Linked DNA regions of Coturnix japonica. The protein of the gene in region 1 purifies or fractionates together with the protein of each later gene. This does not show direct contact. Links are inferred from orthologs where the notes say so. Each region holds a gene or a part of one and is shown on either strand. Other genes may lie near its edges.

Region 1 (3,500 bases):
ATAATATTGGTTTTGTCTGTTCATTCAAGGATTTACTAACAGCTTATCCTGATCTGGAAAGAAAACATATTTTCTATTCATCCCACAAACTCATGACACACTTCTAAACACACTCACCACTGACATTATATCAGACTACTGCTCTACACACTGGTAGATGCGCCCTATTGCAAGCACTAGCGAAGGCTACCATCAAAAAAAGGGTGATCCCACTCACCCTATTACTGTAGAGACAGCTGGAGTCAAAGCACCTGTCTTGAGTTCTCGTACATTCACCACCTGGGGAACATTCTTCAGAGTTGATTCAGTCAAGGAGGTGCTCACAGCTTTAAGAAAATAAATAAATAAATAAATAAATGTGGTAAATACCTTCCCCATATTAAATACTGCAATCAATATGGTGTCTCCGAGTAACTCCAAAAGAAATCCATGTAAGTTTCTATTTGCCCAGTCAAGGGTGACTTGAGCAATCAGCCATCCTTTTACCTGGGGACTGGGTGGCCATCTGCCTTCGCAGAGCTGCTGCAGCAGCTGCCTGTGGTGCTGGAACAGTGACAGTGGGAGCAGGGGCCCCATGTTTCACAGTCTTTGTTGCAAGCATTGTGCTGTCTGCCCCTTGTGGGATGATTCTGTTTGAAGACGTAGGCACTAAACAGGAAACAAAAAAAATATTACAGTTCACTGTATCCATTAAAATCAGGAAAACTTGAAATCCTTTGCAAACTACAGTTCCTGTGATTTCACAGCTTCCATCTGATAAGACAGCTGACACTTTTCTAGCACAGACAGTTTGAGTACCTCAATGAATTCAGCATGTACATTGCAGTAGTTGTTATTTCAGTGCACCAGATGACTTTCAGTTTGTTGCTGTAGTCACTTCTACTGACAGCTTACTTTTCATTTTGGGGTTCGAGTTCTCTGACTGCAGACAAGGAAATCTGAGTATATGCACATTTAGTTCTTACTGTTTTGGGGCTCAGAAGTCCTAACCTTGTGCACACTCATCAAATGCAGAAGTACTTCAGCCTTCTGTTTTGAGGGGCAGCATTTTAAAAAAATAAGACAAATTACTAAAGGAAGACAGTGCCATCTATGGTCAGTATGATCTATAAGTAACAAGCAGTCAAAATGCAGTGAGTCAAGGTCCTTTAGTGCATTTAGGTACTTCAGTGTATTCCCAAGCTTACAGTGCCACTCTGCTAACTGCTTCTGGGAATTTGGCAGTGTAAATCTCCCTGCTGCAAACTCATTTCTCCAGGATTTGAAGCAGCAGCAATTTATACAGTGGTAAAAGACACTGACAGGAATACATGCAGAATAGCAGAAACACTGCAAAATAACTCACATAGAGTACCACCCAAGGAGGGGTGTTGTTTCCCAAAGGATGGAGGCTGAGGCACCAAACCAGGCTGGATAGATGGAGTGCGGACCACAGGGGCATGACGAGGGACTTGAACAGGAGCAGCCTCCTCTTCCTGGTCTGCTGCCTGCAGATCCTCATTCTCCAGGGACTGGGAAACTGAGGATGTTGAACTTACTTCATCCAAATCTTCATAGTATCTTGTGGACAAGAAGGCAGATCGGGACAAATTTGCTACAACAACAGAAATAAAAGACACGTGTACACTAAGGTGAGAGAGTCATCCATCCTAACAGCTAAGACATACATCCTATTTTAGGATGCTCTTCTAACTGGCTTGCTTTAATCCTACATTGCTAGGATACGACTTCCTAACTGCCAGCAAAGGCAACTTTTGGTAAGATTGTAACTGAAGTAAATTCTTACTCAGGGCAGATGAGGGAGCAGCAAGGGTGAAGTAAGGGCAGAGGCTACGAGAAGCTGCTCTAAGCTAATTTCAGGATTGGTTCCCACAGGAGGTAACTCACCCTCTTACAAAGCATTCTGGACTTTTAACATAGCTAAAGGTTTACCTGGAGCCGTAGACCTAACTGGTGGAGTCTTCCTCTTGGATAGAAAATTCCTCAACTGTGTCAGTTTCACAGGGGGCAATTTAGCTGGAAAACAGAAGAGAGTTATTAAGTCTATACCAACATTAACAACGTTAACATTTACATGTGAACACCAGGAAGGAAGAATACATTACCAGGTACTTTAGGTGGGGGTTTGACGCGTGATTCCAAGGTAGTTTTCATCAAGGCATTGCGCAGGCTTTCAAGGTCACTGTCAAAACTGTGACACAGCAAAACAATTAAACAGGATCAGCAGAAAGAAATCAAACAAATTAAGAACAAAAACAGGCCAAAATGAATCACTAGAAGTACTAACTTATCAGGAAGAACAGCTGGCTCCTCTAGATACCATGCTATTTATATGTACGTATCTTGATTTACTTTGGAAATTCTTAAGTTATTCACTTCTTCCCCTGAATTCAGACAAACAGCAGTACCTCTGTCCAGAGGTTCAATGGTTCAATTATCCTGATTATGCTATTATAAAAAAATAAAACTTTCAAGGGGGAATTTGTGATGAGTGTTAACGTATCACACAAATACAAGCGAGCTTCTGCATTACCTGGGCATAGTTTTGTATCATTTCTAGGATGTACTGTTCTCACACATCACATCCACAATCATTTCTCGGTGGACACACATCTGAATACTGCTCAGGGCAAGAAAGCAGTGGCAACACCACTCAGGAACTTGCATTTCACATACCTTTGAGCATTGCTAAGAGGGGATGTATCACTGGGAACACTCCACTGAGATGTCTGATTATACAGTCGGAGCTGCTGTAGGCTGTTCACCAAATGATGTAGTCTCTTCTTCTGCTGAATGATTATTTCCCGGTTATTAGCAAGGGTGTTAAACAAAGTCTCTCGTTCAGGAACAACCAGACGCCTTGAGACATAAGACCAAGAAACACAGATCAAAATGGTTCTACAGATCTGGCTACAAGCAGGCATGAACATACAAAGTGGTTTGGTAGATCCTGCCAGTTCTACCCCATGAAGTCAAACAAAGATTGTTTTAAACACAAAAGGCAGAATCACAGAATTATCAAGGTTGGAAGAGACCTAGATCATCCAGTCCAACCATCACCAATACTTCCCAGTTAAATCATATCCCTAATATTCTGCTTGTCTCAAATGCATGTTTCTCCTTTGGGTATGCTATAAATGTGTTTAGCTCATTTACTAGAAGATTGGGAGGTTTCATTGGCTTCCACCAATGGATGCATTTAGTCCCTACACACCTTATTTTACAGGTTTTTCTATCACAAGCACTCCTTTACCAGGCAAGGAGATGTAGCAAAATGTAACAAACTTCCACAGCCCAGTAATCTGAACCTACAGCTCTCTTCTTACCTGTCTTTGTTAAACTTTATTCATAAACCCCACAAAAAAAAAAGGTTGTACTGTTAAACAGAAAAAGGGTTTTGTCTATTGATGAGAGGCAGTGACTGATTCGTTGATAAGATCCTCACAGTCTTGTATTCCAGTTTCAGTTACTTACTTCTGCTTTCTCTCCTTTTCCAGGTG
Region 2 (4,240 bases), on another chromosome or scaffold:
AGAGCCCTGACAACGAGAGCTCTGCTCTTCCAGCTGCTTGAAATCCACTCTCTTTGTTTGCTGTTTTGCCCAGTTCTAAACCCAAACTGCTGCAGTGTGGAGGATCTCATTCTTACTTTCTGCACACTGGGCAGATGATTCTGTTGCTGGCATCCAAGCCATCGAGGATTGCATTGAGGCATTCTTCATCAAACCGCAGACTTCGCTCGTACTCTTCTATAACCAATTGTTCTGGGGGCGGGGGGGCAAAAAAAGACCAACAAAAACCAAAACAGAACAGCAACAAAACAGACACCTGTTAACGACTTCAATGCTGATACACATGGAGCTGCTGTGGGGATGCAGGTTGGGGCAGCCCCTTATTGCTGAGATTCTTATTTCCAATCAGATTTCTGTGCTTAAGAAAATCATCACTATTAACCCGCTTCTTCCTACAGCCTTCATGCAGCCTCAGGGGGGTGACTGTAAGTCTTCCCAGCCAACAATTCAGTGTTCTGAGTTTATTGATGTGGGCTCCTACAACTCTCAAGCAGTGCTGCCTTGTGTAGCTCCATATAGAGCTTAAGATGCCACTTAAACTCCTGGAGCTCTCAGGATGCTCTCAGTGCATCAGAGGCTGCAGAGATCAGGCTGTTTTCCCTGCTATCATGTAGCAACCAGGGGACGCACTGAGTTACCTTGCAGGATCAGCTCCTGCTCGATCTCATCCAGCACCGCCAGCTCGTCCGGGTCCTCCGGCATCTGAAAGTCACCGTGTTGTGTTGGGACAGTGTGACAAGAGGCACCACAGCTCGTTCTGCTGCTTGTTAACACACAGAGGTGCTCTGTAAAGGCACCCAGCACCCAGAGCACAGCACACAACACACAACACAACACACAACACACATCACAACACACAACACAACACACAGCACCCAGCACAGCCCGGCCGAGGTTCGGCCTTTAATTCCCATCCCCCCCTATACAACATCCCTCCGGCCGCTCGTACCGACCTGCTGCCGCTCCCCGTTCCCTCTCATGTTCCTCCACTCTCCCTCCATCACCTCCGGTACCAGCAGCGCCCCGGGGCCGGGCCCGGCCTGTCGGTACCGTGTCAGCAGCCGCTCCCTGCTGCTCCTCAGCCGCTCCAGGCAGCGCTGCGGGGAACGACACCATGTCAGGGCCGGTCGGTCTCACCGTCTGTGTCTGTCCGTGTCTGTGTCTGTCTGTCTGTCTCCATCTCTCACCCTCCGGTACGTTTCCTTCCATGGCGGCACGTTCGTTCCCTTGTACAACGCGCGGTGTCTGCACGGCGCCTCCATCGCCGACACCACGTGACCGCGGCACGGGGCGCGCCGGGAAACGTAGTCCTAGAGCACAGCGGAAGAGCGGCGGGGTGGCGTCACTGTGACGTCACTCAGGTTGGCGCGGCGTCGCCGTGACGTCACTCCGCTCGCCGCCGCCGATTGGCTGCCGGTCCGTGGCGGTGGCGGGGCAGCCATGGCGGCGTGTTGCGGTGCGGAGCAGTGGCGCTCGGTGCTGCCGCTTCACGCCGTGTTCGGCCGCCTCCGTCACGCCGAGCCCGGCCCCGCCCCGCGCTGCCCGCTCAGTTTGTTGCTGGGCCTGGACGGAGACCTGCTGCTGTGGGACGGGGAGCGCGGGGCGCTGCTCAACGTCCAACTGCGGCGGCTGAGCGGGGCCGAACCGGAGCTGGGCCGGTACCAGGTGAGCGGAGCGGGGGCTGCGGGACGGGCCGAGCTCCGAGCCCCGCTCTGAGCCCCGCTGTGTGTCCCGGCAGACGCTGCTGTGCATCAACCCGCCGCTGTTCGACGTGTATCAGACGCTGCTCAGCCCCGCGCGGCGCCATGTGGCGCTTATCGGCACCAAGGGGCTCTCGGCCGTGGAGCTGCCCGAGCGCTGGGGCAAAAACAACGAGTTCGAGGGTGGGAAGGACACGGTGAACTGCAGGTGGGGGCTGAGATCCGCTCCTGCTGCCCCCACATCCCCCCCGTCCCTTTGGAAGCTCCGCCGTCCGTGCGGTCACAGCCGCCGTCCCCGCTCTGTTCCAGCACCGTCCCGGTCGCAGAACGGTTCTTCACCAGTTCCACGTCGCTGACCCTGAAACACGCGGCCTGGTATCCCTGCGAGACAATGGAGCCCCACGTCGTGCTGCTGACTTCGGATAACACCATCAGGTAACGCTGCGTCGTGATTATCATGAGGGAAACTGCAGATTGGCAGCAGCTGGTGCTGACCGACCATCATTGCTGCTGCTTCCATCCAGGATCTACAGCCTGAAGGTGCCCCAGACCCCCATCAAGGTGATCCCGCTGTCAGACGCTGAGGAGGAGACTCTGATCATCAACAAAGGGTTTGTGCGGCTCCTTTTGCAACGCTCTGAGCATCTCAGAGTTCTGTGTTCTCAGTCACATCCTTAACCAGTCACAGAGCCCCCAGCAGGGATTTAAACACGACTTACTGCTCACACCTCTGTGCTGGGGCTGCTTCCTGCCACAGAACCAAGTGCTGTATGTTCCCTAAAGGAAAGAGGGAACAGACTGCACAGCCCGGTGTTCTTCAGAACAGTTATTTGAACAACACACGCTATCTTTAAGAAGGTTTCATTAGGGCTTTTTTGAGCAGGGAATGCATTGAAATATGTTATCTTTATTTCCTCCTTCACCTGATTGGAAAGGAGAAACTTGAGGGTTTCTACTGGATGAGTCACTGTACTACACAGTAAATCCTACGTGCCCTCCTCCTTACCCTGTGAAACTCAGCTGACTTCAGAAACAAGGCCCTGGAGGGAGGATGTTACCTGAACATTTTTGTTGCTGAAACATAGTGTTTATCAAAGGGCTGATGGTGTAATTTGACTCAGTTTTGTTCCTGCTTATCCCTAGGAGAGCCTACACAGCGTCGCTGGGAGAGACCGCGGTGGCGTTTGACTTCGGCCCGCTGGTGCCAGTCCCAGTGAGCATCCTTGGGCAGCGAGGCAGTGAAGAAGTGCTGGCTTATCCACTTTACATTCTATATGAAAATGGAGAGACATTCCTCACCTATATCAACCTGCTGCAGAGGTGGGTTTGTGTTCATCCTCAAGTTTCATAGGGTCTTTGTATGTTTGGTTTCCAGAGCCATCTCTTTGCCTCGCTTGGATTCTGTTAAGGATGCTGGGCTGGTTTGTATTATAATGTATCTCTTTGTGATAGTGCTAGGAGACTTAAATCCAAGAATAACATGTTAGAACTCCAAACCGCAGTGTTTGATGCTTTCGTTGGCTGTTTTTTAGTCACCCTCATTCTCTAGTTATCAGTAAACTCCTGCAGGCAGCCATGGGAACTCTGCTCCTACGCTTTGTGTTGTGAATGCATCCTCCCTATTCCAGTGCTGGAAATCTTGGCAAGCTGCTTGGCCCTCTGCCCATGCACCCTGCTGCAGAAGACAATTATGGCTACGATGCCTGTGCTGTCCTGTGCCTGCCTTGTATTCCAAATATCCTGGTGATTGCCACTGAATCGGGCGTGCTTTATCACTGCGTGGTGCTGGATGCAGAGGAGGATGAGGAGCAGGTACCTTGTCTTGTTATTTCTGTGAACGTTTTTGTTTCTTCTGTGAAAGTTCCTGCCTTCAAGATCTCAGGATGGCTCAAAGGGAATGCATACCTCTATTATGTAACTCAGTGTTATTTACACTAGTATTTCTATTTAAATGATGTCTCATTGAAGAATTCAATGCTGTTTACAGTCAGAAAAATCGTGGGACCCAAGATCCGATCTTGTTCCTTCCCTGTATGTGTTTGAATGTGTTGAGCTGGAACTTGCACTGAAATTGGCATCAGGAGATGAGGAAGAGCCTTTGGAGTCTGATTTTTCTTGCCCAATCAAACTGCATCAAGGTAGGGTTGTGTAGCTCAGGTTGTTGTCTTTTATTTCCTTGAATTTAGGATCAAGTTATTTAAGAATTATTATCATCTCAAATCAATTATTACCATCTGGGTAGCGATGCTGAGAGGTGTTGGTGCCTGTTTATCAGCCTGTCAGCTGGTGCTGTTGTAGGGCAGGAGGATGGGAAGGACAAGGAAACTGGTCTGCTGGCATTAACTGCTGGTCTTCCCTTGAAGCCTACTGGATAGAGACAGATATTGTATAATGCAAGTAATTCTAATTAATTCCCAAAGAGTGTATTAACAGATGCTGAAATTGTACTTGATTTACATGCAGAATTCAAGTGCAAAATGCACACAGCTCAGACCTTGAAC

What was found.
Region 2: the proteins of NUP214 (region 1) and NUP88 purify together in Homo sapiens (affinity purification with mass spectrometry; 6 studies listed by BioGRID and IntAct, counting the BioPlex papers as one, with this or other methods). This does not show direct contact. The link is inferred for Coturnix japonica from reciprocal best matches to the Homo sapiens genes NUP214 and NUP88.

The regions. Positions count from the first base shown.
Region 1 is NC_029532.1:4,691,161-4,694,660, reverse strand, and holds part of NUP214 (nuclear pore complex protein Nup214), read right to left. Parts: coding exon 3,475-3,500; intron 2,860-3,474; coding exon 2,677-2,859; intron 2,192-2,676; coding exon 2,106-2,191; intron 2,017-2,105; coding exon 1,933-2,016; intron 1,595-1,932; coding exon 1,346-1,594; intron 649-1,345; coding exon 487-648; intron 327-486; coding exon 218-326; intron 1-217. UniProt on the Homo sapiens protein: Part of the nuclear pore complex. Has a critical role in nucleocytoplasmic transport.
Region 2 is NC_029534.1:2,458,936-2,463,175, forward strand, and holds the start of NUP88 (nuclear pore complex protein Nup88), read left to right. Parts: upstream 1-1,440; 5' UTR 1,441-1,479; coding exon 1,480-1,704; intron 1,705-1,777; coding exon 1,778-1,947; intron 1,948-2,048; coding exon 2,049-2,174; intron 2,175-2,263; coding exon 2,264-2,350; intron 2,351-2,882; coding exon 2,883-3,059; intron 3,060-3,367; coding exon 3,368-3,551; intron 3,552-3,726; coding exon 3,727-3,877; intron 3,878-4,240. Other genes in the region: RPAIN (RPA-interacting protein), read right to left, coding at 117-231, 678-741, 993-1,136, 1,227-1,301. UniProt on the Homo sapiens protein: Component of nuclear pore complex.